5 linked regions of the Canis lupus familiaris genome follow. The main gene of each other region encodes a partner of the protein of the gene in region 5 in a complex. Links are inferred from orthologs where the notes say so. Each region holds a gene or a part of one and is shown on either strand. Other genes may lie near its edges. The genes, in order: FKBP3, RHEB, RPTOR, DEPTOR and MTOR.

The links.
Region 1: the proteins of MTOR (region 5) and FKBP3 are in contact, whole or in part, in a crystal structure (PDB 5GPG), measured with the Homo sapiens proteins. The link is inferred for Canis lupus familiaris from reciprocal best matches to the Homo sapiens genes MTOR and FKBP3. Residues at the interface, in NP_001373429.1 of Homo sapiens: Glu2032, Tyr2038, Phe2039, Gly2040, Arg2042, Tyr2088, Val2094, Leu2097, Tyr2105, His2106, Arg2109; in NP_002004.1 of Homo sapiens: Lys160, Pro161, Leu162, Ser163, Lys170, Tyr198, Lys201, Gly202, Gln203, Pro204, Asp205, Ala206.
Region 2: the proteins of MTOR (region 5) and RHEB are in contact, whole or in part, in a cryo-EM structure (PDB 6BCU), measured with the Homo sapiens proteins. The link is inferred for Canis lupus familiaris from reciprocal best matches to the Homo sapiens genes MTOR and RHEB. Residues at the interface, in NP_001373429.1 of Homo sapiens: Arg62, His69, Glu73, Ala101, Thr102, Ile104, Gly105, Arg106, Asn109, Tyr110, Arg112, Asn113, Phe140, Glu143, Tyr144, Phe147, Glu154, Arg160, Thr969, Gln973, Phe977, Lys980, Glu1010, Phe1011, Gln1014, Met1018, Ser1050, Thr1051, Asn1264, Lys1293; in NP_005605.1 of Homo sapiens: Lys5, Ser6, Arg7, Lys8, Arg15, Pro37, Ile39, Glu40, Thr42, Gln57, Ala62, Asp65, Tyr67, Ile69, Gln72, Thr73, Ser75, Ile76, Asp77, Asn79, Asp105, Met106, Val107, Gly108, Lys109, Val110, Ile112.
Region 3: the proteins of MTOR (region 5) and RPTOR are in contact, whole or in part, in a cryo-EM structure (PDB 6BCU), measured with the Homo sapiens proteins. The link is inferred for Canis lupus familiaris from reciprocal best matches to the Homo sapiens genes MTOR and RPTOR. Residues at the interface, in NP_001373429.1 of Homo sapiens: His597, Thr600, Pro632, Val644, Ser645, Gln646, Thr647, Ala648, Val649, Ala653, His686, Ala688, Gln689, Glu691, Met721, Asn722, Pro723, Ala724, Phe725, Met727, Pro728, Phe729, Arg731, Lys732, Leu734, Ile735, Leu738, Thr739, His743, Tyr771; in NP_065812.1 of Homo sapiens: Phe278, Lys282, Cys283, Ser285, Leu286, Pro288, Gln380, Ala381, Asp383, Leu384, Asp387, Glu411, Gln412, Thr414, Ala415, Val418, Trp419, Thr421, Met422, Arg427, Asn428, Glu431, Gln432, Lys973, Ile974, Asp979, Leu980, Glu981, Ser982, Lys986.
Region 4: the proteins of MTOR (region 5) and DEPTOR are in contact, whole or in part, in a cryo-EM structure (PDB 7PEC), measured with the Homo sapiens proteins. The link is inferred for Canis lupus familiaris from reciprocal best matches to the Homo sapiens genes MTOR and DEPTOR. Residues at the interface, in NP_001373429.1 of Homo sapiens: Met304, Gly305, Phe306, His1494, Cys1498, Trp1501, Gln1525, Asp1527, Ser1528, Glu1530, Glu1531, Cys1534, Met1535, Ile1536, Arg1538, Arg1547, Gln1554, Leu1556, Leu1559, Gln1562, Cys1563, Lys1566, Arg1683, Leu1685, Asp1686, His1687, Lys1710, Ile1711, Phe1714, Gln1715; in NP_073620.2 of Homo sapiens: Arg54, His56, Leu57, Lys58, Thr59, Tyr60, Pro61, Val101, Arg116, Lys119, Asp121, Gly122, Thr123, Phe124, Lys131, Ala132, Arg135, Arg138, Lys142, Glu177, Gly178, Glu179, Glu185, Cys304, Asn305, Lys307, Gly335, Asp336, Ala337, Val338.

What each region holds. Positions count from the first base shown.
Region 1 is NC_049229.1:22,776,603-22,782,413, reverse strand, and holds part of FKBP3 (peptidyl-prolyl cis-trans isomerase FKBP3), read left to right. Parts: intron 1-656; coding exon 657-758; intron 759-1,834; coding exon 1,835-1,942; intron 1,943-4,030; coding exon 4,031-4,166; intron 4,167-4,634; coding exon 4,635-4,702; intron 4,703-5,811. UniProt on the Homo sapiens protein: FK506- and rapamycin-binding proteins (FKBPs) constitute a family of receptors for the two immunosuppressants which inhibit T-cell proliferation by arresting two distinct cytoplasmic signal transmission pathways. PPIases accelerate the folding of proteins.
Region 2 is NC_049237.1:16,170,414-16,176,224, forward strand, and holds part of RHEB (GTP-binding protein Rheb), read right to left. Parts: intron 3,816-5,811; coding exon 3,733-3,815; intron 3,028-3,732; coding exon 2,971-3,027; intron 2,858-2,970; coding exon 2,810-2,857; intron 2,060-2,809; coding exon 1,978-2,059; intron 1-1,977. UniProt on the Homo sapiens protein: Small GTPase that acts as an allosteric activator of the canonical mTORC1 complex, an evolutionarily conserved central nutrient sensor that stimulates anabolic reactions and macromolecule biosynthesis to promote cellular biomass generation and growth.
Region 3 is NC_049230.1:1,850,366-1,856,154, reverse strand, and holds the end of RPTOR (regulatory-associated protein of mTOR), read left to right. Parts: intron 1-435; coding exon 436-522; intron 523-1,368; coding exon 1,369-1,485; intron 1,486-1,796; coding exon 1,797-1,926; intron 1,927-2,548; coding exon 2,549-2,617; 3' UTR 2,618-3,849; coding exon of another isoform or gene 3,850-3,945; 3' UTR 3,946-4,109; downstream 4,110-5,789. Other genes in the region: translation initiation factor IF-2-like, read right to left, coding at 3,850-3,945, 4,238-4,521, 4,627-4,876. UniProt on the Homo sapiens protein: Component of the mechanistic target of rapamycin complex 1 (mTORC1), an evolutionarily conserved central nutrient sensor that stimulates anabolic reactions and macromolecule biosynthesis to promote cellular biomass generation and growth.
Region 4 is NC_049234.1:19,335,184-19,340,994, reverse strand, and holds part of DEPTOR (DEP domain-containing mTOR-interacting protein), read right to left. Parts: intron 4,852-5,811; coding exon 4,666-4,851; intron 2,638-4,665; coding exon 2,503-2,637; intron 1-2,502. UniProt on the Homo sapiens protein: Negative regulator of the mTORC1 and mTORC2 complexes: inhibits the protein kinase activity of MTOR, thereby inactivating both complexes. DEPTOR inhibits mTORC1 and mTORC2 to induce autophagy.
Region 5 is NC_049223.1:84,313,318-84,319,128, reverse strand, and holds part of MTOR (serine/threonine-protein kinase mTOR), read right to left. Parts: intron 5,720-5,811; coding exon 5,475-5,719; intron 4,410-5,474; coding exon 4,194-4,409; intron 3,854-4,193; coding exon 3,648-3,853; intron 1,369-3,647; coding exon 1,246-1,368; intron 643-1,245; coding exon 553-642; intron 429-552; coding exon 336-428; intron 1-335. UniProt on the Homo sapiens protein: Serine/threonine protein kinase which is a central regulator of cellular metabolism, growth and survival in response to hormones, growth factors, nutrients, energy and stress signals.

The sequences.
Region 1 (5,811 bases), on a different chromosome or scaffold from region 5:
TTCTCACCATGCAATAGACTGTAATATGAAAGGCATTAAATGGATTATTGTGTTTATCCTTAAAACCATTCTCTGAGATAGATGCTGTTATTATTCTTCCACTATGATATGGAAACTAAGTTTTTAGGAAAGCTTGTCCTTTGACTAAGATCAGATAGCTAGGATTTTGATTCAGGTGGTCTAACTCCTCAGCCCGCACACTTAACCACCATATATCCAGCATTTTGTAACAGTGCTTCCCAGTCTGTCAAGAATGGGTTACACATTTGTCAAGATAGCTATGCCTAACATGGTTAAAGGGTCCCATGGCCATGGCCAAGTAACATCCTGCCAGTACCAGCATCATCCAGTTACCAAAGTGTGCTTGCTATATAAATGTTCTGTGAGTTCTGTAATGGGAAGAGCATTAGTATGCAACAGTGTGACTCCTATGTAATATTATAGTTCCAGTCTTGTCAATAATCTTTATAGTGTATTTTTTAAATCTTCCTTCGATCTTTTTTGTTATGAAGTAGGGCAGAAAATATATTTATTTTTTCCATCAGTAGTAGTTTTATTAACGATACAATTGTTCACATAAGAGGTCATTTTCTAAAGTTTAGACCCTTATTACATGAGGGAGATTATTTTGACTAACCAGCTTTTTTTCCTTATAGTTTCTTGCAGAACATAAGTTATTAGGAAACATTAAAAATGTGGCCAAGACAGCTAACAAGGACCATTTGGTTACAGCCTACAACCATCTTTTTGAAAGTAAGGTGAGTATTATTACATCATATTACCAGAATATTGGTTTAGATATTTGTGTTTGAGAAAAGAACTTTTAAATTTATTTGCAGAATTTATTTAATTTTTTCCACCTGGAGTTTTTCCTAACTATAAGTGGACTATCAAATCTAGCAAAGCTAATCTGCAGTATAGCAGGATATTATGTTTTTGAAAGGAACCAAATTTTAAAAAATAATTCCCAGGATACCTTGGTGGCTCAGTAGGTTGAGCATCAGACTCTTGATTTCGGCTCAGGTGGTGATCTCAGGGTCTGGACATCAAACCCTGCACTGGGCTACCTGTTCTTTGGAGAATCTGCTTGAGACTCTTTTCCTCTGCCCCTCCCCACACTCGCATGTGTCTGTGCTCACTCTCTCTCAAAGAAATTTAAAAAAAATAGTAATTCCCTGTAGCTTAAATTAAAACAACAAAAGGGCTACCAAAAAGTTAAGACTCCAAAGTAAATTCTATTTCATTAATGAATTTTGAATCTTAGATTTAGGCTGAGCCTTTAGAAAACCAAATTTTTAAAAAATTCTCCAATATTTGTTCACTATGAAATAACTATCTTCCACAACAGAGTCTTTATTAAGGAATTATGTGATAGTATTCATATCTGAGTCTTGAGTTGGCCTTTCTAAATCTTTTTCCTTTTTAAGTATTTATTTATTCGTTTTAAAGAGAGAGAGCACAAGTGAGGGGAGACCGAGAGAATCCCAGACTCCCCATGAGCATGGAGCCCAACATGGGGCTGAATGCCAAGACCCTGAAGTCATGACCGTAGCTGAAACCAAGAGTCAAACACCCAATGCCACTGAGTTGTCCTTTCTAAAGATCCCTTTTGAGCATTTATATTATGAGATGCTTTGAGGTTCATAATTTGTTGATTAAAATGCTTAACATAAGATTTTTCCTTTGTTCTTAGTTTCCATTTATTTGTATTTGAGTTACATAGCCTATATTCAAATGCAGGTGTTCATTAAATTGAAAAGTTGAAAATCTAGATATCCCTTCTAGTCTTTAGCCTGTCCCGAATATGGTAAACATTAGAACATTTTCCTTGCAGCGTTTCAAAGGTACTGAAAGTATAAGTAAAGTGTCTGAGCAGGTGAAAAATGTGAAGCTTAATGAAGATAAACCCAAAGAAACCAAGTGTGAAGAGACTCTGGATGAGGTTTGTATGTAATATTATTTTATTTCTCATGTGAATTTGAGGAAAGTTTATAGCACTGATTTCTCATAATAAGGGGTGGTTGAGTATGACTACTTTGAGTGAGCCAAACACTGATTTGGGGTGTGTTATCTCCCTTAGGTGTACTGAATCAGGGAAGAAAAAAAAAGAAAAACATGTAAGAACCAGTGCTTTATGGTTAATAAGCTTTTTCTATAAAATACCTCTAGCTTTGTATTTTATATTTCCTCTATGTCTGACTAGAACTCCTGAGCTTCCAAAGCCATTTTAAGTCCTGCTTCTATAGCCAAGTTTGACTGAGTGAAAGCCGTTTCACTGTGATTATTTTTAGCTTTTTCTAATGTACATGGTATCCTTGGCAATAGAAATAGTCCAGGCTTGGCAACAGGGTGTGGAGTCTTCTGTCTCATCTTTCCCAACATAGGTCTTACATTTTGGTACAAAGGTTTGAAGAACTAGATAAAACCATTTCTGCAAAGGGACAGCCTCAGTAGAGCCAAGGACAGCAGTTAGAACAGCCACAAAAGAGCTAAATTGATAATAATCTTGCCCACTTCTGATAATATCTTGCTAATAACTAAGCTATAACTCCTTCCTAACAGTCTTAGTATCAGTGATAATAATTTGATTCTTTAGGTCTTATGAAGACATGTCACCTAATGATGAAGTACTATAGCATTTGGATATTTGTAGATAGAGTGTAAGTTCAAGTATACAATTATAGAAGTTTATATACCTAAAGCTAGTTAGTTCACAGGATACTCTCTTGGTTGAAAAACAGAATTTCATGTTCATGGATATATACACACAATAAAGCAATTTTGAGGTTTATCATGTCTAATATTATTTGATAAATGTTATATGTACTGGGAAGATATTCAGCAGCTACTAAGGTAAGTAAAGGTATAATAATTATTGAAGGATTGCAAAAGCAATTGGCAAAATAGTTTACCTTCCAGAAAATTACAATAAAAAGGTATGAGGCAGCAGATTGTGTATCATTATGAGGTTAAGAAAAAAAGAGTTATGGGGTGCCTGGGTGGCTCAGATGGTTGGGCATCTGCCTTCGGCTCAGATCATAATCTCCAAGTGCTGGGATCAACCCCCATGTCAGGCTTCCAGCTCAGCAGGGAGTCTGCTTCTTCCTCTCCCTCTTCCTCTTCACACATAAATAGTATGTGTGATAAACTGAAATGTAAATATCAGTAATAAACTGATACTTAAAGTACAGCAAAAAAAACCCTGCTTTTCTTACCTATATGAATTACCACCTATTAGCCTTTAGCATTCTTTAAAAAACTGATAATCCTGCTTTGTTTTAGGAAATATGCCTGTTAGAGTAATTTCTATAGATAATTCTGTTCCTCGTGTGAACTTACTTTCAAGTTCAGAAACAAATGGAGTATTACTATATTCGTTCTAATTGGATATAGTAAAAATATTTAGTAATGTCTAGTATTGGTGCTAAACAACTCAAATCTTTGGGGAAAAAAAAGTCACAATGCGTTATTTAATGCCTTATGATTTTATAGGAATTAAATAGTAATTATATTTCTAACCTTGGAAAGTAATAGGATTTATTTTATCATTTGTTGAATAACAATTTTGTCAAAAGAACATTGGTTTCCAAAGTAGCTAGAAGTTACTTGAAATTAAATTATAGAGGGACACCTGAGTGGCTCAGTGGTTGGGCGTCTGCCTTCGGCCCAGGGCATGATCCTGGAGTCCCAGGATAGAGTCCCACATCAGGCTCCCTGCATGGAGCCTGCTTCTCTCTCTGCCTCTGTCTCTGCCTCTGTGTGTATCTCTCTTGAATGAATAAATCAAATATTAAAAAAAAAAAAAAGAAATTAAATTATAGATAGGCTACTTACTAATATTCTCACCACAGACAACAATTAGATGAATTTTTTTAACTCAGAGGTGAACCAGAGGCAACAGAGTTAACCAAATCTGTGAAACTCTGTGCCGAGACTTGGTTCACAGTTGGCTGTATAAGAATTCTCTTTGTCGTCCACCATAGAAGGATGTGAGTTACTAACTCTATGTATTGTTTTTGTTTGTTTTTAGGGTCCACCAAAATATACAAAATCTGTCCTTAAAAAAGGAGATAAAACCAACTTTCCCAAAAAGGGAGATGTTGTTCACTGCTGGTATACAGGAACACTACAGGATGGGACTGTTTTTGATACTAATATTCAAACCAGTAAGTGTAAATGTAATCCTATCTTTTTAGCTTTAAGGCATTGCAAAATATTTGTGTGGTACATGAACAGTTGGTTATACCTTTCTCTTGGCTGTCAATTTTTTCCAAAAGTCCTTTGCACCTGTGATTATTGGCCGGGGGGAATAAATCTTGGTTGTTGGGAAGCCAAAAAAAAAAAGCTTAGTCTAAACTTCGTTAATGTCCTATAGTTGAGGCTTTTGTATTTAACATAAAAGGCAGAATAGTGTGGTGTTTTAGTAGTGTAAACATAGGTCTTTACCCTCTTCCTGCTTTGGGGACCATAACTATTTTTACATACAGAATTGTCTTGATGAGTTAACTTTCTGAATTTTTATTTCTTTTCAAATGCATAATATGGTAAGTTCTAAAATCAGTTTAAAGACAAATCACTGTTTTTCCACTGGAACTTAATTTCATCATGCATTATAAGGAAAATTTGTTTTACAGGTTCAAAGAAGAAGAAAAATGCCAAGCCTTTAAGTTTTAAGGTTGGAATAGGCAAAGTTATCCGAGGAGTAAGTAAAAAATGGCAATGAATCAATAGATATTCTGGTACATGCTGTATCTGCTATGGTATCATAAGTAGGATTTGGGATATGATGAAAACATTTGTCTTTGGATTCTGACAAATCAGGTGCTATCACTGTTAACTGATCTGACACAAGTTTTCTGGGTTTCAGATATGGACAACAGTACATTCTTCCTCAGGGTTGCTAAACAATTAAATGAGCATGACTACAGTATATAATGTAATAGAGGCTCAAATATTTTCTTCATGCCTACCCCTCTTTATTTTTTCATCATAAAGTAATTCATCAGAAAGTTTGGCTTTCTAAATTTATGTTTTAAGATTTTTTTTTTTTAATTTTTATTTACTTATGATAGAGAGAGAGAGGCAGAGACATAGGCAGAGGGAGAAGCAGGCTCCATGCACCGGGAGCCTGATGTGGAATTCGATCCCGGGTCTCCAGGATCGCGCCCTGGGCCAAAGGCAGGCGCCAAACCGCTGCACCAACCAGAGATCCCTGTTTTAAGATTCTTAAAAAATGTCACATAGTTGTTTTATCACTTACACACAATTGAGAAAGGTAAAAGATCCATTTCACTGCAGTACCTTATAGAAGCAGAAGTTTGTTCTGGGCCTTTTCACTTCTCACAACCAAGGTTCAAAAACCAGAAAAACTTTTCACACATAAGCATGCTTTTTTACCTGCCTTTACATGTGAGAGATAATAGAAGGGAACTTTGAGAAAAGGGGAAGGTAGGATTGAGCTGTACTGACCAATGCAGTGTACAAGAGTATGTAATAGAGCACTGAACAAAGCTGTTTTTGTAGGGCCTATTGTTATTAAAAGGTCTTTATTCACAGCATCAAACATTATAACTGAAATGCCTGTTAAATGCACTTATGAGAACCCTCGGTGTTCTTTATACTTGGGCAAGTTCTAAAATACGGAACATATCCACAGCCCAAAATAGCATATAAAACATCTTGAAACCAAAGGTTTAACTAAAAATAACCTTAACTGCTACCTGATTATACCAAGGTGATCAATTTTTTTATTTCTAGGACTAATTTGCTTACATATTTCTTCTAGTAAACCATATTCTTAATTTCCATTAT
Region 2 (5,811 bases), on a different chromosome or scaffold from region 5:
TTGGTCTGCATTTCCTAAGAATACAGATATTTTCCTCATGATTCCAATATTATCACTTCCTCAAAGGAAATTAACATTTTACTAATATATGCAGAACATAATAAAATCTCTCCAATAGACCAAAAATGTCTTTTATACTAGGGTTTTCAGAACCAGATTCCAATCAAAGTTAACACACAGACTGTAATCCAGTCTGTACCCTTCCCCAGAATGCTTTATTATGCTTCAGTCATGCACGAGGCCTTCCCTTCCCACCCACTGGAAAACATGGTGTAGAGAACAGCGCACCAAATAGAGGTTAGATATAAACTTCAGTCCTAGTTCTTATGCCACATAAACCGAGTGATCTTATATAAAACTCCTTTACTTCTCTCTTTGGATCTCAAACGCACTTTCAAAATGAGACAGTGCAACTGAATGATCTTAAGGACAGATTAGACACCCAATAAATGTTTGATTTAATTCCATTAGGAAATGAAGATATTTCTTACTCTCTCAACTCTTGGTATCTGAATTCTTACTACCTGAACTCAGAAGCTGAGCAGAGTCACACGAATCTCTTGTGACCTGGCACACGGGAACCAATCACACAGATTTAATATTCCTCATTATTATTATTATGTTTAAAAGATTTTATTTTATTTTATTTACTCATGAGAGATACAGAGTGAGAGAGAGAGAGAGAGGCAGAGGGAGAAGCAGGCTCCATGCAGGGAGCCCAAAGTGGGACTCAATCCCGGGTCTCCAGGATCAGGCCCTGGGCTGTAGGTGGTGCTAAACCGCTGTGCCACCAGGGCTGCCCAATATTCCTCATTATTATCTGAACCCAGGGACAAAGGGATGTGACTGCCAAGGGGTACCTGGGTTGACTGAGAACCTGGCAGACAGGCATGCCCATAGCATCTGCCATGCAGGACATTATGGAGAACAGAGGTAAATGACATATCTTGGATTTTGGGATGAATTGAGGGGGATGAGAGGATGAGAGAAAAGGACCTTGAGAGCCAGGGGAAAAGTGGCTGAGGTGGGGAGAGTGGGCCTCAATCCTTACCCAGAAGGTACCAGTCACCCTGACTGAACAGTTTCCTCACACACTTGAATACCAGCTACTCTGATTTGAGGATCAAACAAGAGAATATGTGGAAAATACTTTAAAGACTGTAAAGCACTACACGGATATAAGTGGTGAGTCAGAGAGAGGATAGCTGAGGCTGGAGGTGGCCTGAGGGGAGGGCACACTCGGCCAGTGCCCCCAGTGGGGAAGGCGGCGGGATGAGCACCAGTGTCGCCCGACCTCCATGTTGCTAAGGGCTTTGAGCCTGTTCTCTAGACAACAGGCAACCCACCGACAGTCCTAGCAGAGGGTAATGCCATCTGATGCGCAGCTTTAACGAGTTTAGTGGCAGTGCAGAAACAGGAGAGAGAAGACAGAGGCAGGAGGGGAGGCTGGCCATGTGAGGCCTCCACAGATAAAGCCAACAGCCTTCCCGGGCGGTGCTCTTGCAGGAACATCTGCAGGGCTGACGTGGGCACAGATGCCTGCAACATGGTTCTTAATAGTTTCAATGGTACAAACAATATATATATGGCATCCGTTTCATCCTACAGAGAAAAGGGGCTTTGGTGCCGGCACAGAACTATTGCCAAAGTGATGGAAGATCATTCTCCTTTCTTTTCTATGCCTGGACTTATTTCTGTGCCAGCCTTTAATACAAACAAAAATAATAATATACGTTCACAAAGCAGCATTTCCTTTACTCCCAACTTCTGTTTATCCTACAAATATTCCAGATCCCATTGTAAGCAGGATCTTGATGGCAACTCAAAGGCCAACTCTGAGATGGTGGAAGGAAGGACATAGGTGAGGTGGGACAGAAGGACACAGATGAGGTGGAGCAGGTGGGGCACGGCTGCCTAAGGGTACACAGGCCCAGAGCTGACGGAGGCAGCACAAGAGGAGTTCTACACAATACGTACCTGATTTTCTTTAGCAGAAGATTCCAAAAAAGCGGCGTTCCAAGACTCTGCTAACGCTTTCCCTTCTTCATAACTGATCACCCTAGAGGAAAAAGAAAATTCTAATTAAAGGACTGTACTCTCTTTTTAGGAAAACATCTGTAAATATTAGTGAACCAGGCTCCACTTTTATCATTTTTTTTCCTTGCAAAGCAGAGAAATGCTCTCTGCTCAATATTATCATCCAGCGTGGACCACAGAGGGGCACTTTAACAAGGGCTGGGTTGGGGAACGGGACAGATGTGTCCTTATGGCGTTACCCATGCTGCGGCAGGCCCTCAGCTCGGAGAACACAACTGTGCTTCCAGCACACTGTGACACAGACTGTTTCATAGTGTGGGGTGGGGGTTGTCAGCACCTGAGGACCAGACAGTTGTGAAGGGGCCCTCGGCCCAATGTTGCTGTGCATCCTCCTCTCCAGCCAGGACTCCACAGCAGCAAGGGCTTTGCTCCCGCTCAAGTATCTAATCCTCACCACGGGACTCAGAAACTGTTTGTTGAATATATGAGTGCCTCTGTGATCTCTTTAGGCCACTTTACACAAAATGTCAGAAGATAATTTCCTACCACATTTGCTCCCTCTTTTCTAGAGGAAACACTTGTCAGGGTGGGTGAGGTTTTATATTGCAGTTTTGCTTCTGCTTGGGTACAACAATCACCACCACATTTCTGAACATAGACATGTTACATCTAAGAATAGTCTCACCATGAGAATAATTACAAAAGATACTGCAGTGCCTAGACCATTTCAGACTTGATTTTATAAATCAGTAATTATTCAGAAGTTACATACCTTTCCATATGTAGGTCTTTCTTATTCCCAACCAACATAATAGGTATTCTAGTAATGTAAGACAAAAAAGCCAAAGGTAACTAGTCAGTGCCAGATCTCATTGTTCAGAAGACACAAGTATAATGAGCATATCTAACAAAAGAGAAACTATTACTACTTACTGCACTTTCCCCACCATGTCCAACAATTTGCCATGAATAACTTTAATCACTTCAAAACTGTAAAAGAGAAGCATGAAATCAGACATCCATCTTAGTGTTGGTGTTTTTAAATGTTTGTTACATAATGTTTCTCGTGGGAAAACTACATAATGTCACTGGCTTACCATTTTAATATAAAATAAACTGAAAAAAAAAAAAACTGAACACAAAGAATTCCTTAATTTTTTCCTACAAATCATTTTTCACATGTGTATGTATCTGACACTGAGTAAACCTTACCAAGACTATTCAAAATGAAATAGGTGCAATATTAAATGGGAAAGTCTAACACTTGGCTGACAAACCATATAAACACAAATTTTAATCTCTGAATAGACATTTGTAGAATGTTCTTTACCTAGAGGGCCCTAGCAGTCAGCCCGTGTTCCATATTAATATGATGAAAAACACACAAAAAGCAAATCAATTTATATAATTCCCATTTCCATTAGCAGAAAAGCTCAGATCATGTCAAATCACTATTTATCTAGGCAGTTGGAGGTAAGAAATAGAGTTTTTACTCAATCAGTGTAAGAGAGCATCTACTGGGATATCTTTTTTCCCTTAACAACCTGTTTGCTCCATAAGACAACATAATGAAAAACATTTAGCTTGGTAAGTCAGATTGTTACTATAACCAATTCCATCACGGTCCTTTAAAAAGAATGAGTGTCTTTCATGCGGAGCAAATAAACTCAAGCAAGCAGGAGGAGGGAGTCCTACCTTTTGATTGATGTAACAGAATACACAAGAATATAACCATTAATATCTATGGAGTATGTCTGAGGAAAGATGGAGTATTCATCCTGTGGGAGAAAAAATAATTCTATGTGAGTAAAATTCTTCATGTAGCGTAACAAGCAATCTGTACCCCAAAGTTCTTCACACATGACCTGGTCAAAGAGATCAAAGTAAACAAAAAGTGGATTACATTTTCTTCCAGAAACACAGCCTATACACTTAAGACTTAAGTGTATAGGCTGGTTTGGAGCTGATAATTGTTTTCAGCCAACATGTGAAAATGACTGGCTATTCTAAGACCTTTGGGGAGAAGGCTGATAATTTCTGCAATTCCTGGTGAAAGAGGATGGAAGGAATGACAAGACAACAGGTCCTGTGATCTTATAGGAGGAGAAGAGCTATAGCAGTTCTTTTAAGGTTCTAAGTCTAGAACCTTAGATCTCATGGAAAATTCACCAGTGCTTCTGTTTTTTTCCATAAATCTGTATTCTCCTATCTGAAATTGTTATATCCTTACCAAACCCATTCTCTGCAAGTGAGTCACAATGGCCCAAGGGCCAGTCTATTGGTCACTAGTGGGTTACCCCCAGCACTTGAGAGCGCAAGAAGAGAGGACAGAATCAAAAAGGTAAAGTCAGTGTACCCAGACTTCTGGGGATCAAATCAGTTATTTATTGAGCAACGTTAGGTATTAAAAACAAAGGTACACATTACATAACACATCAGTACCCAGTTTCATAAAGCAGCTTTAGGAAACTCAAAACTCGGCTTCAGATACAGAATTATTGAAGTATACAAAAGGAATACTATCAGTGCGGTTCCTTATAACATGCCACAGCCTGGTATGAAACATTTTATTCTCCCTTGAAATATAATTGTTGGACTCCTGGGTGGCTCAGTGGTTTAGGGTCTGCCTTCGGCTCAGGGCGTGATCCTGGGGGCGAGGGGGGGATCTCCTTGGGGAGCTTGTTTCTCCCTCTGCCTATGTCTCTGCTTCTCTCTGTGTCTCATAAATAAATAAAATCTTAAAAAAATAAAAATAAAAAAGAAATATAATTGTCAACATACCATGTAGCCCAAGCACTATTCTAAACAATCAGGTCACATCATCATTATATTAAGTAACTGTCTCTATTAACTTTGCAATTCCACAGTATGGTTACAACTAATGCTTATGAGTGCCCTGAATTACTGCCCCAAATTATTACTATCTACCATAGCAAAGTGTCTTTAAAAAATAAAAATCAAAGAGAAATTAAGTATTACTATCAGCTCTTTGATATCAATAATAATCATTCATCAGAAGGTAGCATTTCTACATCTTAGAGCTCACTACTACACATGCAAAATAAAACCTTTGTTTTCATTATCAGTTTCCTTATTAGTTTCATTAAGTTGAGTTCTTTTGAGAACACATTTTTGTTAATGGAATGAGAGGTCTTTCTACCCAGATTAAGAACAAAATTCCAAATGATTTTAGTCACACCAGCTGAGCTACAGTAGATCTCGAGTTCAAATCACCTTTTCCATGAAGAGAAAACATGGAAGTAAAGAAATGAGTCATCATATTTCAGAGGCATGATGCAAACCACTGCTAGTTAGAAAGTATCATGCGGGGAAAGCTTCCCCAGCTCTAAGAGCAACCAAAAAGGAAAAAATTCCTAGGAATAAACTCAAGAAAAGTGTACGATCCATCTGAGGAAAATCTTAAAATACTCCCAAGAGATCAAATGGAGTGAATAGAACAGTGAGTCATGGTCCTCAGCAAGACCGTGCAGCTTATCAAAGTCTCCCCTGATCCATCCTAAATTAACATATAAATGTAAAGAATCCTGATAAAAAGTATATTTTCTGAGAAAGAGCAATTGTAGACGCAGCTGGGTGAAACCATAAAGCTACTTATTTAAATTAAAAGAAGTATCTACTAGTTCATGAGTGAAGTGGACTGAAAAACCTACCAAGACCCACAGAGCCGGGAATTAGGTAAATGCTAGTATTGGCGTTTCAGCTCAGTAAGGGTAAAAGTAACCCTCCAACAAAGCTGGCCAGGGAGCAAAAGCA
Region 3 (5,789 bases), on a different chromosome or scaffold from region 5:
ATCAGACTGTCAGTTTAAAAAGCTACCCCGAGCAGGCAGTAAAGTCACAAATTGACCCGAAAAGAGCCAAGGATGATGGAGTGGCTCCGAGGGTGCAGCTGGGGACCCCCAGAGCCCACGCCTCCTCCTGATGCTGAGGGCAGTGACGCTGGGCACCTGTGCACCCCAGCTGTGACCTGGGGCTCGCTGTTGGAGGGCGGGGGGCTCTAGGGCAGCAGCGCTGTGCTCCCAGGGGCCTGCTGGCGTCCGGGCATCACGTGAATGGTGGGCGCAGGAGACCCTGACCCCTGTAAAGGAACAGCGGGTTTCCCTGGCTCAAGAGAAGTCACACCCTCGGCAAGCCTGGCCCCCCCCCCCCCCCCCCCCCCCCCCCCGCCTCCCCTTCCCCTCCCCTGGGCAGCCCCCCAGGCTTTGACCCTGCCTCCTCCCCTCCAGCCGCGTCATGACGTACCGGGAGCACACGGCCTGGGTGGTGAAGGCCTACCTCCAGAAGCACCCCGAGGGCCACATCATGAGCGTGAGGTAACGAGCACGAAATATTTATGAGACGTTTTGCTGTAAAAACAGTATTTTCTCCTCCATTTAAAATATGTCCCTGGTATTTAAACAGCTGGGAAAGGGTGGCATTTCCGGGCAGTAATCAACCTCCGCTCTGGGACCGGCCGGAAAGCTCAGGGCCGGTGGGAGGGCAGGGACACACTGGGCCTCCAGCTGCAGAGCCGTGCCCGCTGGCGACGGGAGGCTTGCTCCGTGGGGGCTGGCGGGGTGTGCCCGGGAGCCGGTGGGCCTCTTCCGGCCCTTTGCTGCGGGATCTCTGCGTGGAGTAGCCGTCTGCCCGTAAATTCATTTCTGCTGCCCGGTAAATCCCGTGCTGAGAGCAGCGAATATTTATTTGCCCGTTAAAGGGACAGCAAAATGTGATTTACTGTCACAGAGCCACCATTGCTCCAAGAGGTGCTCTCGGCCTTGTTCGGAGTATTAAAGCAGAACATAGCTCTCGGCACGACACCCGCCGGAGCCCGAGGGCGGGAAGGAGGGGCTCCAGGGGCCACGTGCCGCCCCGCGGCCTCCCCGCCTCCCTGCCCCCCCTCCCATCCCTTAACTGCATCCCTGGCTGCACGAAATCTAATCTCCGGGACTGGAAATGAAACCCATAACTCACACACACACACACACACACACACACACCCCCCGTGTCTTTGCTTACGCTGCTCCGCGCCTGGGCCGCAGGGCCTGGTCGGGCTCTGGTGGGGAGTCTGGGGCTCGGGGCCGGTGGGGCGGGCTCATGCTCGGCCTCAGGGGCCAGCCGGCCTTGGCCTTGAGCAGTGCGTGTGCACACGGGCCCCGACGGTGACCCTTTCCCGGCAGTGTCAACGGGGACGTGCGTTTCTTCGACCCTCGGATGCCAGAGTCTGTGAACGTCCTTCAGATCGTGAAGGGGCTCACGGCCCTCGACATCCACCCCCAGGCAAACCTGATCGCCTGGTAGGTACCAACCCTGAGGGAAAATGAGAGGCCTCTCCTGGCCCGACCCTCTCAGAGCACCACAGTCAGCCAGAGCACCACAGTCAGCCTCGGGCCTCCATGTAAACAGCCGGCGCCGTCCCCCATGCCTGGGAAGCAGTGCTCTTTGGAGCCACATTATTGTGGGGACCCTCGTGCCTGGGTGATGGGCGGCCAGGGCAGCCCGGTGTCTGGGACGGTGCCGTGTGGGGGGAGGGGCCACCGCCCAGCTTCTCTGCCCTGCCCTGCTTCCGCCCCGGCGGGAGGCTAACCCCGGACCTCCTTGTGCGCAGCGGCTCCATGAATCAGTTCACGGCCATCTACAGCGGGAACGGGGAGCTCATCAACCACATCAAGTACTACGACGGGTTCATGGGCCAGCGCGTCGGGGCCATCAGCTGCCTGGCCTTCCACCCGCACTGGGTCTGTGTTCCCACACCCGGGGCTCGGGGCACTCGGGGCGGGGGGACAGGGGACAGAGGGGGCATGCGGGCAGGTGGGACTGCAGCCGGGCCCGCCCCACACCACCTTGTCCCATGTCCAAGAAGGTTGAGAAACAGGATCTTGTCAGGGCATAGGGTCTCCAGGGGTCACGGCCCCCAAACTGCCTCTAAAAGCAGCACCACATTCCTGCATCAGGCAGGGCGTCGTGGGCTGCACAGACATGAGGCAGCCCACTCTTCGTCACCTTTGGGCCTGCACTGATGCCGCCCCTGCAGAAGCCTCGCAGTGAGGAGGGTGCTGGGCATCCTCACCCAGCCCGTGGGCCCCGGGGAGGAGCAGCCCAGATCTGTGCTCATCCCTTACGGCCGCTCCACGAGTCTGTGGGCTCCGCCAGAGGCCCCCAGGCAGTGTGGGGCTCTCAGCCTGGACGCACGGCGCTGGGTTCGCAGAACCATCCCCACAGGGAGCCGTGAGGGCCCCGCATCCCTGTGGCAGGCTGTGGGGCCTCTGCCGAGAGCCGCAGCGGGGTGGGGATGAGGAAGCTGCACCGCGCCCTCCCGCCCGCCCGCCTGCCCGCTCACCTGCCCTGCTCTCCTCGCAGCCTCACCTGGCCGTGGGCAGCAACGACTACTACATCTCCGTGTACTCCGTGGAGAAGCGTGCCAGATAGCAGGCGCCCCCCCACCCCCCCACCAGGCCTCCGTGTACATACTGGATCCACCGCACCACCCTGAACACTGGTCCTGACCTGCTGCCAGGGGCTCCCGGAGGCCCCTCGCTGTCTGTCTGTCCGTCCGTCTGTGGTCACTGTCATGCCCAGGAGCCCAGGGAAGGGGCCTCTGGTGGAGTCCTGCTGTGTGACAGCCCAAGGACCGTCGCAGACATCCCAGCACCCTTCCCGTCCTGTTTTGCTTCTGAGATTTTTAAAGGGGGAAACGCACTGGTTCTGTTTTGCGAGGACCCAGCATTGACTCCAGGAAAGCTCCGAGACGGAAGCCGGCTCCCCGGGGCTCAGCCACCCCGGCGGATGGGGGAGCTCTGGGGCTCATCGCGGGTCTCTGGGCCGGGCATCCCCCTGGCTGCAAGCCACACGCTCCGGGGGGGCATTTCCAAGCAGGCTGGGAGGGGGCATATTCAAGAGAGCCGTACATGTGGAAGGAGAGAGCCCGAGCCTCCCGCCAACCCCCAGTCCTCGCCCACTGGGGGCCTTCACGGCCAGACGGTGTGAGGCTGGGCACCGCTCCTCCGCCACGCAGCCCACCCCCTGGCACGGGCCCCTCTCACCACAGACCCGCTAGCAGGAGGGGCCTGTGGCTTTGGACAGGTGAGGCAGGTCCTTGGTGATCCGGCCACCACTGGGCCACGGGGCCTGTTTGTCTCTAGTGCTGCCCCTGGGCAGGTGCAGTGACAGCCACCTGGGCCTGTGGCCTCCCACACGGGTGTACACGTGTGCGCAGGGCCCACGGTCTCCACACCCGAGCCCGCACATGCGTGTCCACGTGTGGCCCCGTGGCCTCCCTGCCGGCACGTGCATCACACACGTGATGCCCCCCAGCAGGGGGCGGCTGGGGACCCAGGGGCGTCTGTGGTAAACAGTGGCCCGTGTTTGCCGCCACTCGCTGGTGCAGCAGAAGTGTGTATCTTGCAATGAGTAACGCAGAAGTCTCGTGGTGGTCGCTTCAGGGTGTGCCCGGGCGTCTGCACGTCTGCACACATGGGTGTGCGCGTGTCCTCACAGCCCGTGCAGACCTCAGGGCCATGGGGACCGTTTCCCCACGAAGGACAGCCGCGGTGTGCTGACCGATGACAGCGCTTGTAAAACAAAACCCCAATGATGAGATTCTGAAAAGCATTTTTCCATTTTCCTTGGGAATCACGGTTACCGTGGAAGAGTGAGCTGGCTTAACCACCCCGCCGCCAGCGGCCTCGCCGGAAGGAGGGCCCCTGCCCGGGACGACCCCCTGCAGCGGGCCCGGGGCGGGCGGGGCGCGGGCCGGTCTAACCGGGGCCCACGCGAAAATCCAATCATGGAGTTAACCGGGGCTCCACAGAGCACGCCCTGAAGGTTCGTTTATCTCTATTTATTTTACCAAATGAGAATTGCGGAGTGAAAGCGCGAGCGATCGGCAACTGTTCATGACAATAAACAAGTGCAGAGGTGACCGGCTGCGGCCTGGTGGCTCGGCCCGGGGGCGGGGGCGGGGGCGGGGCCTTCTGTGGGAGGGGCATGGAGGGCTGGCGCCGCGGGGGTGGGGGAGACCTGGGTGTGCCCCGGTCGCCCGAGGCCTGCTTGACCTCCACTCCAGCAGGGCGGGGCGCACCCCAGGTCCGGGGGCGGGCGCAGGGGCACAGGGGTGCAGTGCGGGGAGGCTCCAGCGCCCTCGTGTCGCCCCGCGGCCAGCACAGACCAGGGGCCACCTGAGTCCCAGGACGCAAGGTCCCCATCCCTGCCGCGCGGGCTTCCCGGAGGAAGCGCTGGTTGGCTCCCGGGGTGAGGGGTTCTGGGGGGATCGTGTGCGTCCTTGTTCTGGAAGGAGGCTCGGGACAGGGTCCCCAGGGCAGCCGGCAGGTGGGCTGCAGCAAGAGGCAGGCAGGTAAGAAAGGGGCCAGGTCACGGGAGCAGCACCATGGGTCCCCAGATCGATGACACCCCCGTGCAGCGGGACCCCCAAACCGTACCCGGTCTGGAGACGCCAGGCAAGGCCGCTGCAGCAGGATCCCAGGGGACACTCCATTTCCCCCTTTCCCAGCTTCCAGGAGCTGCCGGCGTCCAGGCTCCGGGCCCGTGTCCCGTGTCCCCGTGGCTCTGACGCTGACCCTCCGCCTCCTCTTCCACTGTGAAGGCCCAGGGGTGTGGGGGCGGGGGGACAGTCTCCAACACCCCGAAGCCCAGTGCCCTGGAGGCACGGCTGGAGCAGGACTCGGACATCCTTAGGGGCTTTAATCCGCCCACTGCTCCCTCTGTCTACAAGGCAGGGGCCCCTCTGGCCAGAGGAGGGGGCGGCGGCGGGAATGGGAAGGAAAGCGTCTATGCTGCCACGGTGGGGAGAAGGGGTCGGGAGGGGCAGAGGCTGCACCTGCTGTGCTGGGGGGCGTCGCCATGGAAACCCGGGGCCTGAGCACTGCAGCTCCGGCTCCCCGCGGTGACGTCCGTGTTGTGCAGGAAGGACACCCAGCCCCCCCCCCCCCCCCCCCCCCCCCGCGCCCGTGCTTCCCCACAGAAAGTATCTTCCTACCAACAGACGAAAAGTAATATTTTCCGGCTCCAAGACTTGCATGCAAAGCCGGTGCTCACGGACACGCTCCCACAGGCAGAGGTGGCCACCGGGGGCGCCAGGGGCCCTGCAGTCGACTCGCCCCCAGCCCCAGTCCGGCGGCAGGGCAGGGAGGGCTGCGGCCTCCGGGTGGGCGTCAGGTGGGGTCGTCCTGCGGGGCCCCCTGGGGAGGCCCCATCCTGCTGGGGGCCTCCGAGGAGCGTCCCCTGGGCTGTCCTCACCGGGTGCTGACTGCGCCCGTCAGCACACCCAGGTGCAGAGGCCCCCGCCGGGTGCCCAGGCCGCCGCCACCTGTCCCCGCGGGCACACAGGCGCGCCCGGTGATGCCAGTGTCGGGCCCTGCACGGAGAGTGGGGAGAGGGCCCTGGGGATTCATCCGAGACCAGCCCGGGGGCAGCCCGGCCACCCACGGTGCCCAGAGAGCAGGGGTCAGCGCTCAGCCCCCATGGCCTCGTCCTTGTCAAGGTTTCCACCAGGGGCTTGACCTCAGGGCTTTGCTAGGACCTGGGCCACCCGCTCCTCCTCCTGGGGGGGACCCCTCCGGGTGGCCCGGCCACGGACAGGCTC
Region 4 (5,811 bases), on a different chromosome or scaffold from region 5:
TGCTAATATCTGTAGCTTTTTTTTTTTTTTTTTTTTTGGTCTGGCTTAGGACATTTATTCACAGTACTAAAAATATATCCGATGTAAATATAATGATTAATTTTAAGTGCCTTACTGAGAAGGCCTACTTATCTGCTTGAGAAAAAAAAAATCACACATGAGCTCACCGCCCTCTGGGAACCCTCCCACAAGAGTGAGGGAGAAGCTTGTCAGAATATGGGTAAGACCTAGGATTTACAAACCACGATTAAGACAATTGAGGCAACCACAGTTGAGACCCAAAAAAGGCAACCTGACCTTTCCTTGATGCCTGCTTTATCAGCAAACTTTTCCCTTTGAGCCTATAGGCAAGGAGAAAGAGGAAAGGATGCAAAACCCACCTCAGTAAAGGTGGATGCGTAGCTCATTTACGTAATTAACACTTTGTTCTTTTTCTACCATTGTATGCAATCAAAAGAAGGAAAGTAATATTCCATTGTATACAATGGAATATTACTCAGCTATTAGAAATGACAAATACCCACCATTTGCTTCAACGTGGATGGAACTGGAGGGTATTATGCTGAGTGAAATAAGCCAGTCGGAGAAGGACAAACATTATATGTTCTCATTCATTTGGGGAATATAAATAATAGTGAAAGGGAATATAAGGGAAGGGAGAAGAAATGTGTGGGAAATATCAGAAAGGGAGACAGAACGTAAAGACTGCTAACTCTGGGAAACGAACTAGGGGTGGTGGAAGGGGAGGAGGGCGGGGGGTGGGAGTGAATGGGTGACGGGCACTGGGGGTTATTCTGTATGTTAGTAAATTGAACACCAATAAAAAATAAAAAATAAAAAAAAATAAAAAAATAAAAAGTTAAGTTCCTTTCAAAAAAAAAAAAAAAAAAAAAAGAAGGAAAGTGGCTTTAGCATAGCTGGCCCTTTCCTAACACTGCACCCTTCTGCTTCTAACTTTAGGGACACCTGTCAGATTTCCATCGGGGTTTCAAAGAGCCTATTTCTAAGAATACAGTTCTCCTTTCTCATTATACCTTAACAGCAGTGTTCCATGAATTGAAAAACCCAGTTGCATATGGGTGCTCAATGATTTTCCAGCTAGAGTCAGTGTGGAAGCAAGTTTCTTCATTCATATGTTGCAGGTTATGATTTTATTCTTCCAGCTAAACCTCCAGAAGGTAGCAGAAAAATGTTAAAATAAGTGAAATACTCACTTTCCTAGATAATGGTCTTAGATAATAATTTTCTTTTAAAGCCCTTTGAACATCTATTTGCCCTTAGTCTCACTAGCATGTTCTCCCCACAGAGAGATGATATTTTCACCAAGGGAAGGAATCACAACCTTTCATCTTTGTATCCCCAAGTGCAGTGAGGAGGGCACAGCATGAGCCAAAGGAACAAAGCCCCTTCCCTGAAGGTGATAGACTAGACTAAGGGTGGACAGAGCACTAAATGAAGGGAGTGAGGGTGTTTTCAAAGCAATCATTATTTTCATGATGGACCATGCAATCGAATCTTGGGAGAGGTAGGTAAGGAGCAGTGAGGAGCTAGTAGGATCCGTGAGTGATGAGTTCCCACAGGCTGAAGAATTGATTGGGTCAAGGAAGAACTGTTTCTAAGCACAAGCTCATCAACAGTCTTTGTGCCTAGCCTTTTTGTTTTTTTGTTTGTTTGTTTGTTTTTGTTTTTTGTTTTTTGTTTTTGAACGTAAAGGCCACAGAGGTTGATTAGGAGGATTTGAAACTGCAAGGCACCAAGATTCAATTTCAGAGAGAGTTGGGTTTGCACAGATCTGTGCCTCTTCTTTGGGAGATATGGGAACCCAAAAGGTCTTTGCACCTGCTCAATCCCTCTTCAGAACTGAGGGGCTTCTCCCAGTTGCTAACTGCTGATACCTTCAACTGTCTTTGGAACCACCTCTGAAGAGAGCTGCCTTACCTAAGGTCATGCCCTCCTCCCAGGGGCAGCCAACACCTAACAACTGGTCAACAGGAGGGCTGAAAGGCCTGGCCACCTCAGCCACCAGTTGGGACAACTCTGAAGGGCCACCCCGACTCCAGAGCTCCCTTCAGGGGTAGTGGGGCAGCCTGATTCTCCCTCTGCCCAAACCTACGTGCTTCCCTTGCGTTCAACAGGTGTTGGCCCCCAGAGTAGCCATAACAACACTGCCACGTATTAGTTGCCCCTACCTCCCCCACCCCCATCAGAGAATCTGCTGCCCAAGGAACCCACCCAGCCTGCACCTCTGCCCAGTCATGGTCAGAAATGGGGGCTGCCGGGATCCCTGGGTGGCGCAGCGGTTTGGCGCCTGCCTTTGGCCCAGGGCGCGATCCTGGAGACCCGGGATCGAATCCCACGTCGGGCTCCCGGTGCATGGAGCCTGCTTCTCCCTCTGCCTGTGTCTCTGCCTCTCCCTCTCTCTCTCTCTGTGTGACTATCATAAATAAATAAAAATTAAAAAAAAAAAAAGAAAGAAATGGGGGCTGCCTTTTGGTCACTCACCGGACTTGGGGTTGCAGAGCACAGGGGGGCTGCTGCTGAGCGTGGGGCTGCTGCTGAAGTAGCCACTGCTGCCGCAGCTGCTCATGCTGCTCCTCCGCACCGCAGACACAATCTTGATCTCCTTGCTGGGGCTGACTGCGTGGGCCAGAAACACATACACACACACAAGGTCGTGAGGATGGTGGCTTTGGTTCCCTGGAGCATGTGGGCTTTCCGCCACAAGATAGAGGCAGGCGAGTCACACACGCCAGGAAAACGCACCCGGCCTCTGAGTCAGAGAAGCAAGAATTTGAAGGGCAACCTGCCACTCACTGATGGCACAACCTCAGGCACTTTGCTTCAGGTCTCGGAGCCTCCACTTCCCCAGCTGTGAAGTGGGAATAATGCGATCTCACAGGGCTGGTCGGGGGAGTAGTGTATATAATGTACAGGCACGTACTCAGGCACAGGCCTCCCAGCCTCCACTTCCCCAGCTGTGAAGTGGGAATAATGTGATCTCAGGGGGCTGGTACGAGGAGTGGGCCATATACTGTAAGGGGATGTACTCAGGCACATAAAAGGTTATTTCAAGAGCGGTTGAGCCCGCGCTGAGCAGTTCCAGGAAGGATATAAATCAACTGCTGGCTCTACACTTAATGGATTAACAGTAATAATAAGTGCCTCCTGATTTTAATATGATGTCACTAGCTACCCAGAGCCACGGACGAAGGAGATTAGAACATAATAACACATATTTAGCTCTGACAGTGTATGTGAGGCAGCAGTTTAGTGCTCTGACCTGGTCCTCTTTGCCTGCAGAGTCAGTGGCTCTCGACAAGGAGAGGAGAAGAAGGTGTATGGCCAAATGAAGGAAGCCGTGGAGAGTACCCGCTTAGTGCCTGGAACATGGGAAGCACAAAGTAAATGCTGGCTTTTATAGTGACCACAGCCACTCTATCCCTGTCATCATTGTCACTTTTTGGGTCTCTCGTGCCCACAAGAAACAGGCAGGCCTCAGGGCTAGAAAGAACATGAACAGTTACTCTGCATTTGCAGAAGACCACAGCTCTACGGTGACACACTACTGGTGTGTATCTGAGCACAGGCTGGGCTCCTGACCGTCTGTAAGTGCTTACTTTGCCTGAGGGGCTCTTGCTTCATTCTTTCTTCCACCCTAGATGTGTCTGATGAGGGGGATCAGGGTAGAGACAATATAACATAAGCATTGGAATTAATACAGAACTGGTGTAAGTCTAGGCTGACCTTGGGTCAGCCCCTCCATTGATCCATGTCTCAGTTTCTCCACCCATAAAATGAGGATAAGAAAAGTCCTTCCTCTTAGGATATAGTGAGATTTAAATAAGAAAACTCATGCAAGCAAGCTTAGCTCAGGGCCAGGGGTGCAGAAAAGTCTCAATATAGCTACGAGTGTTCTCACTGCCACCTGCTGTAAATAACCAAGACACACATTCTCGCTGTGCCCTGAGTTTCAGGTGAAACCCCAAATTTCCAGACCTGAGGCCAGCCAGTTCCTTGGGTCAATGCCAAATTTTCAGAGGAGTTGAAGATACCCCTTGGAGCACCTCTGCTTCTTATACAGAAGGGACATCAAGTTAACTTTTTCTGGATGAGTAGGGCTATCTTTGTGAACATCCGTCAGCATCATTTCTGTCAGGGATCATTGTAAAAATAGGACTATTTGACCTTCCATGTGACACCCTAGGTTTTATGAGCTCCTGTGTTTGCTTTTCACAAGTTTTCTTTGCTCTGGATCACCCCTTCATGACGGATGGGCAATCAGTTAATTGCCTTTTTCTTGTATATGCCCTCAAAAGTCTTTACTCACCATTAAAACATACAGCTTTTCAGTGCTGTGATTTAGAAAACGGGATCATTAATGATATATAAGAACTGTTTACAAATGAAAAGTAAATAAGGTAAAGTGAGAACTTAAGAAGCCTTCTATCATGCAAAGACATAATTTTATAAGACGGTCTTCATGACATCTAAATTGACTGCCCAGGAACAATTTGGTCATGCTGGGTTTTTTTTTTTTTTCATACTGGTGGGTTATGAATAAATAAAAATGGGCTGGAGAACAGCATTCCACAAAGGTGAGTTATTACTATACTATTTCTCAGAAGACAAATGCAAGTGGTTGGATACACAATGGAACTGACATACCGGACATAAAACTGGTAGATTTCCGATTGTCATGGCTCTGCTTCCTCAGGCAGAAGGGGCTGTCGTGAGTTTCCTGAGAGGAGGGAGATTTTTCATTGAGCAGCTCCATCAGTCTGCGCCTCCGCCGGAAGTTCATTCTGAACTGGTAGAGAAGGTTGCTGTCCACAAATGGGTGCTTGTTGGACACTGCAGTGGAGACACAACAGATGAGCATGCCTGGCATCCTGGCCACTGAGCACTGCAGCCAGAAGTCTCCATCCAATAGGGGCAAAAGTCTACAGAGTTTAATTCTACAGATGCCACATGAGCTTGTAGTCCACACACCATTCCAAATTCTTTCCACGTGCCATGTACTTTAAAAATTGGCTAACCAGTTCCCCTGGGGCTGCTTTGCCTGACCTCACCCCCAATCTAAGCCATACTTTTCCTCGTGTTGTCTGAGCCACTATTTAACCTCCAGCTGATCACTTACCATACTGTACCCACATTGTCTGTTCACTTCTCTACCTTTGTCCACTCAACTCTGGCTCTCTGGGTTTCATTGTTTCATGGTTTCATGTCGTCATGTGTCCCCATGCCCAGCAAAGTGCTACTCCCATGACCATATGTCCATTCATTTTTTAACTTTTGATTTTGAAATAATTATAGACTCACAGAGAGCTGCAAAAATAATAGAGACCATATATCTGTTTGTTTTGGTGGTGGGGAGAGCTCATCTCTTTCTCCCAGCTAAGTCACTCTGCTTAAAGGCTCAGACTGCGTCTTCATCATTCTGGCATCCTGGAACCCTAGACTACCATGTGTTTGGCTCAGTGTAGGTGCCTAGTAAAAGACTGGCAGTGAATATTCAGTGATGGGTAGTCAGATGGATAAGCAGCATGTCCAGAACACTGCTAACTTTAAACTAGTTAGTGGCTAGTCTACACAACAATTCTCCCTAAACCAAGGGGTAGTTTCATAGTATGTGAAGAGTTTTCTGGGGGTATGGGAAATTGGAGTATTAAGGACAATGCATCTAGTTTTTCCTAAAACTAAGTATATTTCATGTAAAGCCTTTCCTTTATTCTGAATGATATCATCACAATTTTTTGTTGTTCAGTCATTTATCCATTTATTCAACTCACATTTGTTGAGTTAGGTTAACAA
Region 5 (5,811 bases):
GGCAGGGAGTGCTGAAGCTCTGCTTGCCTCCACAGCCACAGGCCCGGGCTTTCTTTTTCCCTCTAGGGGCTGGGGTTCTGACAGATGATCTGGATTTTCTGTTATCTGGAGGAAATGGCAGGGTCAGCCCTGAAACTTACTGAGCGACTCCCGGTCAGGATGACAGCTAATTCTGACTCCAGGTCTTTCTTCATTTTCCATAACACATACTTCTGAGTACCCACTAGGTGTCAAGCTCTGGGTCAGGCACTGGCTGGGGACACTAAGTGACGAAGAGAGGCAAGGGCCCAGGCCTCGCAGGGGACTGCTCTGCTCAGTCTGGAAGGAGTACTCACCTGCCTTTTGGCCAACAGAGAGGAGTCCTGGAGCATGTCCATGATGATAATAAAGAGTTCATCCACCCACTTCCTCATCTCTAGGCCACTAACCTGCAAAACGAAAAAGAAGGTGGGAGGTAAGATGAGAAATGATGGAATGAAGAAGTACTTTGATTTCCTTGGAGGCTAAACAGTACTCTTTCCATCCTATGGAAAAAAGCTGCTGTCCCCTTACCTGAGCCAATTCTCCAATTGTAGCCAAGACATTGTTGATCACACCTGGGTTTGGATCAGGGTCTGGATCTTTCAGTTTCAAAATTAAAGCCTATGAAAAGAAGGTATGATAAAATGAATGCAGAACAGGATCTACTAGAAACCTTTTACGTAAGTAAAATTCCCGAAAGACCATTTCAACTGTAGCTTAATTACTGTTATTTATGAATCCAGGATTTCTACAGAATGTGGATTCTAAAACTTTTCTCCATAGTGAGCCCACGTAGACACATGAGAGAGCTGAGAAACACCATGATTTAAAAACATTTCTTGTGCCTCCTCAAATGGTATCTCTGATCATTTGCCCAGATTCACCTACGTTTTGAAAGATTTCACATGCCTCTAACACATTCAGACTTTAAAGCTCATTTTTTCTTCCCTTTGAGGGAACTATTTTATCCCATTATCTACCTACTTCTTTCCAAGCGCATCTGATCATGTGCCCGAAGCACTGCATCTTATCTCTCATAAGGGGAGCCCTTCCGTCAACTGGTGAGATTTTTGCTGATTTTCCACTGAGAGTGCTTCATGTGGCCCTTGACCCTGAGCCTGGGGCCGAAGATGCTACCTATCGAAACACTTCCATTGTCCCAAAGGAGGTGACACAGGGTGACCTGGAGAGAAAGTGCCAGTGTCTCCAGCTGCCATGAGTTACCTTCAGGATGGGCTCCATGTAGGGGCGGATGAGCCGGGGGGCATTGGAGACCAGGTGCCCCAGCATGCGGGCACTCTGCTCTTTGATTCTTCCAATACCGCTGTGCTCCAGCTCTGTCAGAATCTGTAGGGAAGAAAGCCCAGGCGGTAGAGGGAGCTCTAGAGAGGAACGGTGTGTTGAAGAAGAAGCTAGAGGGAGGAACCAGAACTGGACCGCGGATCAAGTAGCCGTTGAATACTCCACGGAGGCAAACAGTCGGGGACACAGCAAAAGTGGGAAGGACTGTGGGAAACCAGTCCCCGCCCCCACAGTCCCATAGTCGTCCCGGAGCATGGCTTTCACAGTGCGGCACAGGGAACTAAGAAAACCAACAGGGACAGTGAGAGCAGGAGTCTGCAGAAACAAGGAATGAAAATCTTTGGGCAGCAAATCACTAAGAGCCTATAAATAATGACAAAAGGACCAGAGAACAGTTAGAACAGCTACGCTGTTGAAAGAAATATTAATACTCAGTATTGGTTTCAGGGACATCTAGATAAACCCAAATAGGAGGGATTCTATCAATCAAATCCCCTTGGACCTTAATGAAAAGGAATAACATGTTTGTTCTGACATCCTTAAAATACCAGCAAATCAACATGTCCTACTCATAGTGACACAGATATAAACAACCTAATATAGACAGATTTCTGGCGAGCTGAAGTTGCCAGAAGGAAATCTCTGGACCGTGAGAAAAGTAGATGCTAACTCTCTACCCAGAGGAGTCTATGATTTAATAATATATTTTGTCTTAGGTTATTCATTTAATAATCCTAACTTTCTGGATCCCCTGGCAGTCTGTTTTCCTCCGTCACAGAAGACAGCAGTGAGAGAGAGGGATGCTGAGAATGGACCCACAAGAGCCAGGAGATGGCTGGCAGGGAGGAAACAGGATTTGCGAGGAGAGCACAGATCTCTGGAGCACCAAGGGCCAAATCAAAGATCCCCAAATTCACTTCCAGAGCCGAGAGCATCACTGTGCCCTCACAATACCCAATGCCCACTCTGATGATCCAGGCATCAGAAAAGGCCACTTAAAGCACATTTGGGCAATGTCCCTTACCAAGGCATGAAAATGTGCAAGGTGACTTGGGAAGGTGTGTATCCACATTTGAAAACAAGGAAAATTAAAAACTTCGGAGTTTCAAGGGCTAAGCTCAGTACACGGTAAATTCATTTAACGGTGCTTCACATTCTCCAAAATCAGAACAATGAGATGGCCTGATAGCCCAACAGTTTATTGTAACCTTCTTGAGGACACAGGCCACGGCTGGCTTGTTCACGGATGTTCCCAGGGCCCGGCAGCACCTAGAACGTGGTAGATGTCCAAACATCTATTGATTGAACGAACATGCTAATATTCTCATTAGGAGATATTTCTATATCATGCTTTAAAGCAGGATTTGGCCAATACTTGAAGAAACAGATTCCAACATAATTTAATCCTCTAATTTATTGACTAATAATATGACTTAATAGTCACTTTACCTTCGATGGATTGTGAATACACAATGTTTCTCTAGGATGAAAGTTACATGTGTTAATCATTTTTCTGTGTTTATGTTCTTTATGTGGGTGGGTCAGGAAGCAGAGGAGGAGGTAGAGACAGGGTGGAGTCGGGACAGGAAAGGACTGGGTGAGCCACAGTGAGACCCAGAAGAGCTGGGTGGAAATAACTCGAGGCAGGAAGGATTGGACCATGCACCAATCACAAGGAGGCCAGACAATTTATGGGGTAGGTGGAGACAAAAACTGGGGAGCCAGGTTTTAGCTCAGATCCTGGGGCGCCTGGCTGGCTCAGTCGGTAGAGCATACAGCTCTTGATCTTGGGGTTGCGAGCTCGAGCCCCACGTTCAGTGTGGAGCCTACTTAAAAAAAAATTCCTAATAGACAGAGCAGCAAGGTCAATCTCAATCTTTGACTCTAGTCCAGCAGCTTAGTTTGGCCTCTGACGTGATTTATGAACCAAAGCCAGGGACCACAGACCAGGGCAATGACTACAAGAAGCAGTGCTGGAACTGTTCCCAAACCTGGCCTCTGTGCCTGACCTGGACTCAGCAAGAGCAGGAGAGTGGAAGGACAGAGAGGTGCTAGGAAAACTGACACCATGTGCAGCAGACCGAGTGGAGAGGGCCAAGGAGTGGGACCTCTGGTGACTTGCCAGGAACAAGAAAAGAGCTGCAGAAGACGTTCGCCTGGGATAAGAGGCCCCCTGGGGTCATGCTGCCAAGAAGCTGGGAAAACATGGACCCTTGGAGCCAAACAGGGCTTTTGTCAGGTATCTCGATCTTTCTCCCCTTCCTTGTCCTCATCTGTCTTTCCCCAAACGGCTCTTCCCCATTGCCTCTAGGTCACACCATTACCTGGATGAGCATCTTGCGCAGGAAAGGCATGACGAAGGCCGGGTTCATGCTACTGAGCCGGCCCACGGTGCAGATGGCCAGCTCCCGGATCTCAAACACCTGGTCGTTCAGGGCCACAAACAGGGCCTGCAAATTCTCTGCCTGGGCCAGGTGTGCATCAAAGCGCTCATCCAGGGACGCCAAGACACAGTAGCGGATGTCAGGGTCTGCAAGAGCAATTTCGCCTTTGAACGCCTCTTCAATGCCATCATCCCTCTGGTCATTTCCCAGTTTCTGACCCACTGCCTCTGGCCTAGTGAGAGGATGCCATGTACCTTTCTCTCATCTAACCTGTCAGCTTTTCCTCTACTCATAGGAGCAAAGACAACAGAACTAAAGACAGATCCTTTTACACCAGTAGGGTAGAGTAGCCAAGCCTAATGCTCTGGCAGAGACATCAGCTGGACATCGGCTTGCTGAGGCTGAGTCTCTAGAGAGCCATGCAATGAAACTGGCTAATTCCAACTGCCCCAGGCGCACGGACTGCTCCTGTCTCATAAACCGTACCAGGATCTGTTATCCCAACCACAAGCAGTTTGCTGAGCACGTCTGCCACCACTTGCACTGCAGTCTGGCTGACCACATGAGCGTGGCCACTGATGAGGTGGACGGAGGGCGTGAGCAGGCGGGAGCAGGTGCGGGCAGCTTCCATGCGGATCTCCTTGTGCTCGCTGTTTAGGAAATGATCCGCACAGTGGCGGACAAACTGGGTCAGAGAGTGGCCTGGATACAGAGGCAGAGAGAAAACAAAATAAACGCTGCGGCTTTGGTTGGTAGGTCTACAACTTGCTAGCTGCATTTTTCATTTCATGGTTACGAATTCAATTTTCCACAAGATATTGACCCAGAATTCTTCTCTTTAAAAAAAGGCAACAAATGGGTTTCCAGTCAGCACAGAGGCGGAAGGGAGGCGGAGGAGCTGAGAGACAGAAAAAAGGCATCCTCCCACCCCCCCATCTTAATCCTTTCTTTATTTCCTTCAAAGAATGAATGATTCTGTTTTATTTTGACCCAAACTTTTATATTCCCAGAGAGTAAGAACAATTCTTGACCAAATTTACCTTGTCTATTTTAGTCCCCAGATTTGAATACCAAAAGAGAGTCTGATGTAGGCTGGGTTTAAATATAGCTACTTTCTATTCATTAGACATAAATTATCCTGGGTGCTGATCAATGCAAGGGACGAACTACAAGAGGGAAACCACAGACGGCTGTAAGCATTCAGATGGCACGTTCAGACTTTTTGTACTTGCTTGTTTCCCCGCAGTCTTGAGCAATACCACCTACATGATCTTAAATTTCAAAAGTACCCATTTTTTCTCTCCTGAATAAATCTCCCTAGGGCACTGATGTGGGTTTATCTGCAGCTTAGAACTCCAAACAGAACTACACAGTACAGCACTCTTGAAAATCACATTGCCATAGGAATGAAACACCTAAAAGTCTCCAGCTTAAACATTTTAAAGCATTAAATACCATCTCAGCTTCATGGACAAGGGGAGGGATTCGGGGGGCTCCATCTCTGACCTTCTCATCTCTGAAGCATTAATTCCTTGATCAATGCATAATTTCCCTGAACACCATCTGCCCTCAAACTCAGGATGGAAGAAAGAAACGAAGAGGCATCAACAATACATGCAAAGAGCTTGGAGGCTGAGCCACTACAGGATCAGCTCCCGGTGTCTCCAGGATCCCCAGCAAGACACCGGAATTCTAGGAGCCCTCATTCTTTTCTTGGGGTTCCCGGGAACACTCGCTATCTTGGCAAGAATGGCTGTGATTCCTTACCTTCAAACTCAAAGCTGCCAAGAGTTCGCAGGGCAAGAGTAATGCTGCCCACATCGCTGGCCTCGGGGAGGGCTGTGAGGCCGGGGGAAGCTAGCTGGTGGGCCAGGCCCTTGGGCATGCCCGGGTGCCGGAGGGGTTTGTGCATCAGGACCAGGGACAGCATCTTCAGGAGCCCATCCTGGATGTCCTTCTTCAGCTGCGGAATCTGACGGCTCAGGTCGTAGAGCACAGCAGTGAGGGCAGGGCTAAGGGGAAGGAAATCAGGTACCTACGGCGCTGCACAAGACGTTTGTCTGTTCTTGAGAAGAAATAACCCTCCTTGTCAGAGAGGGGATTG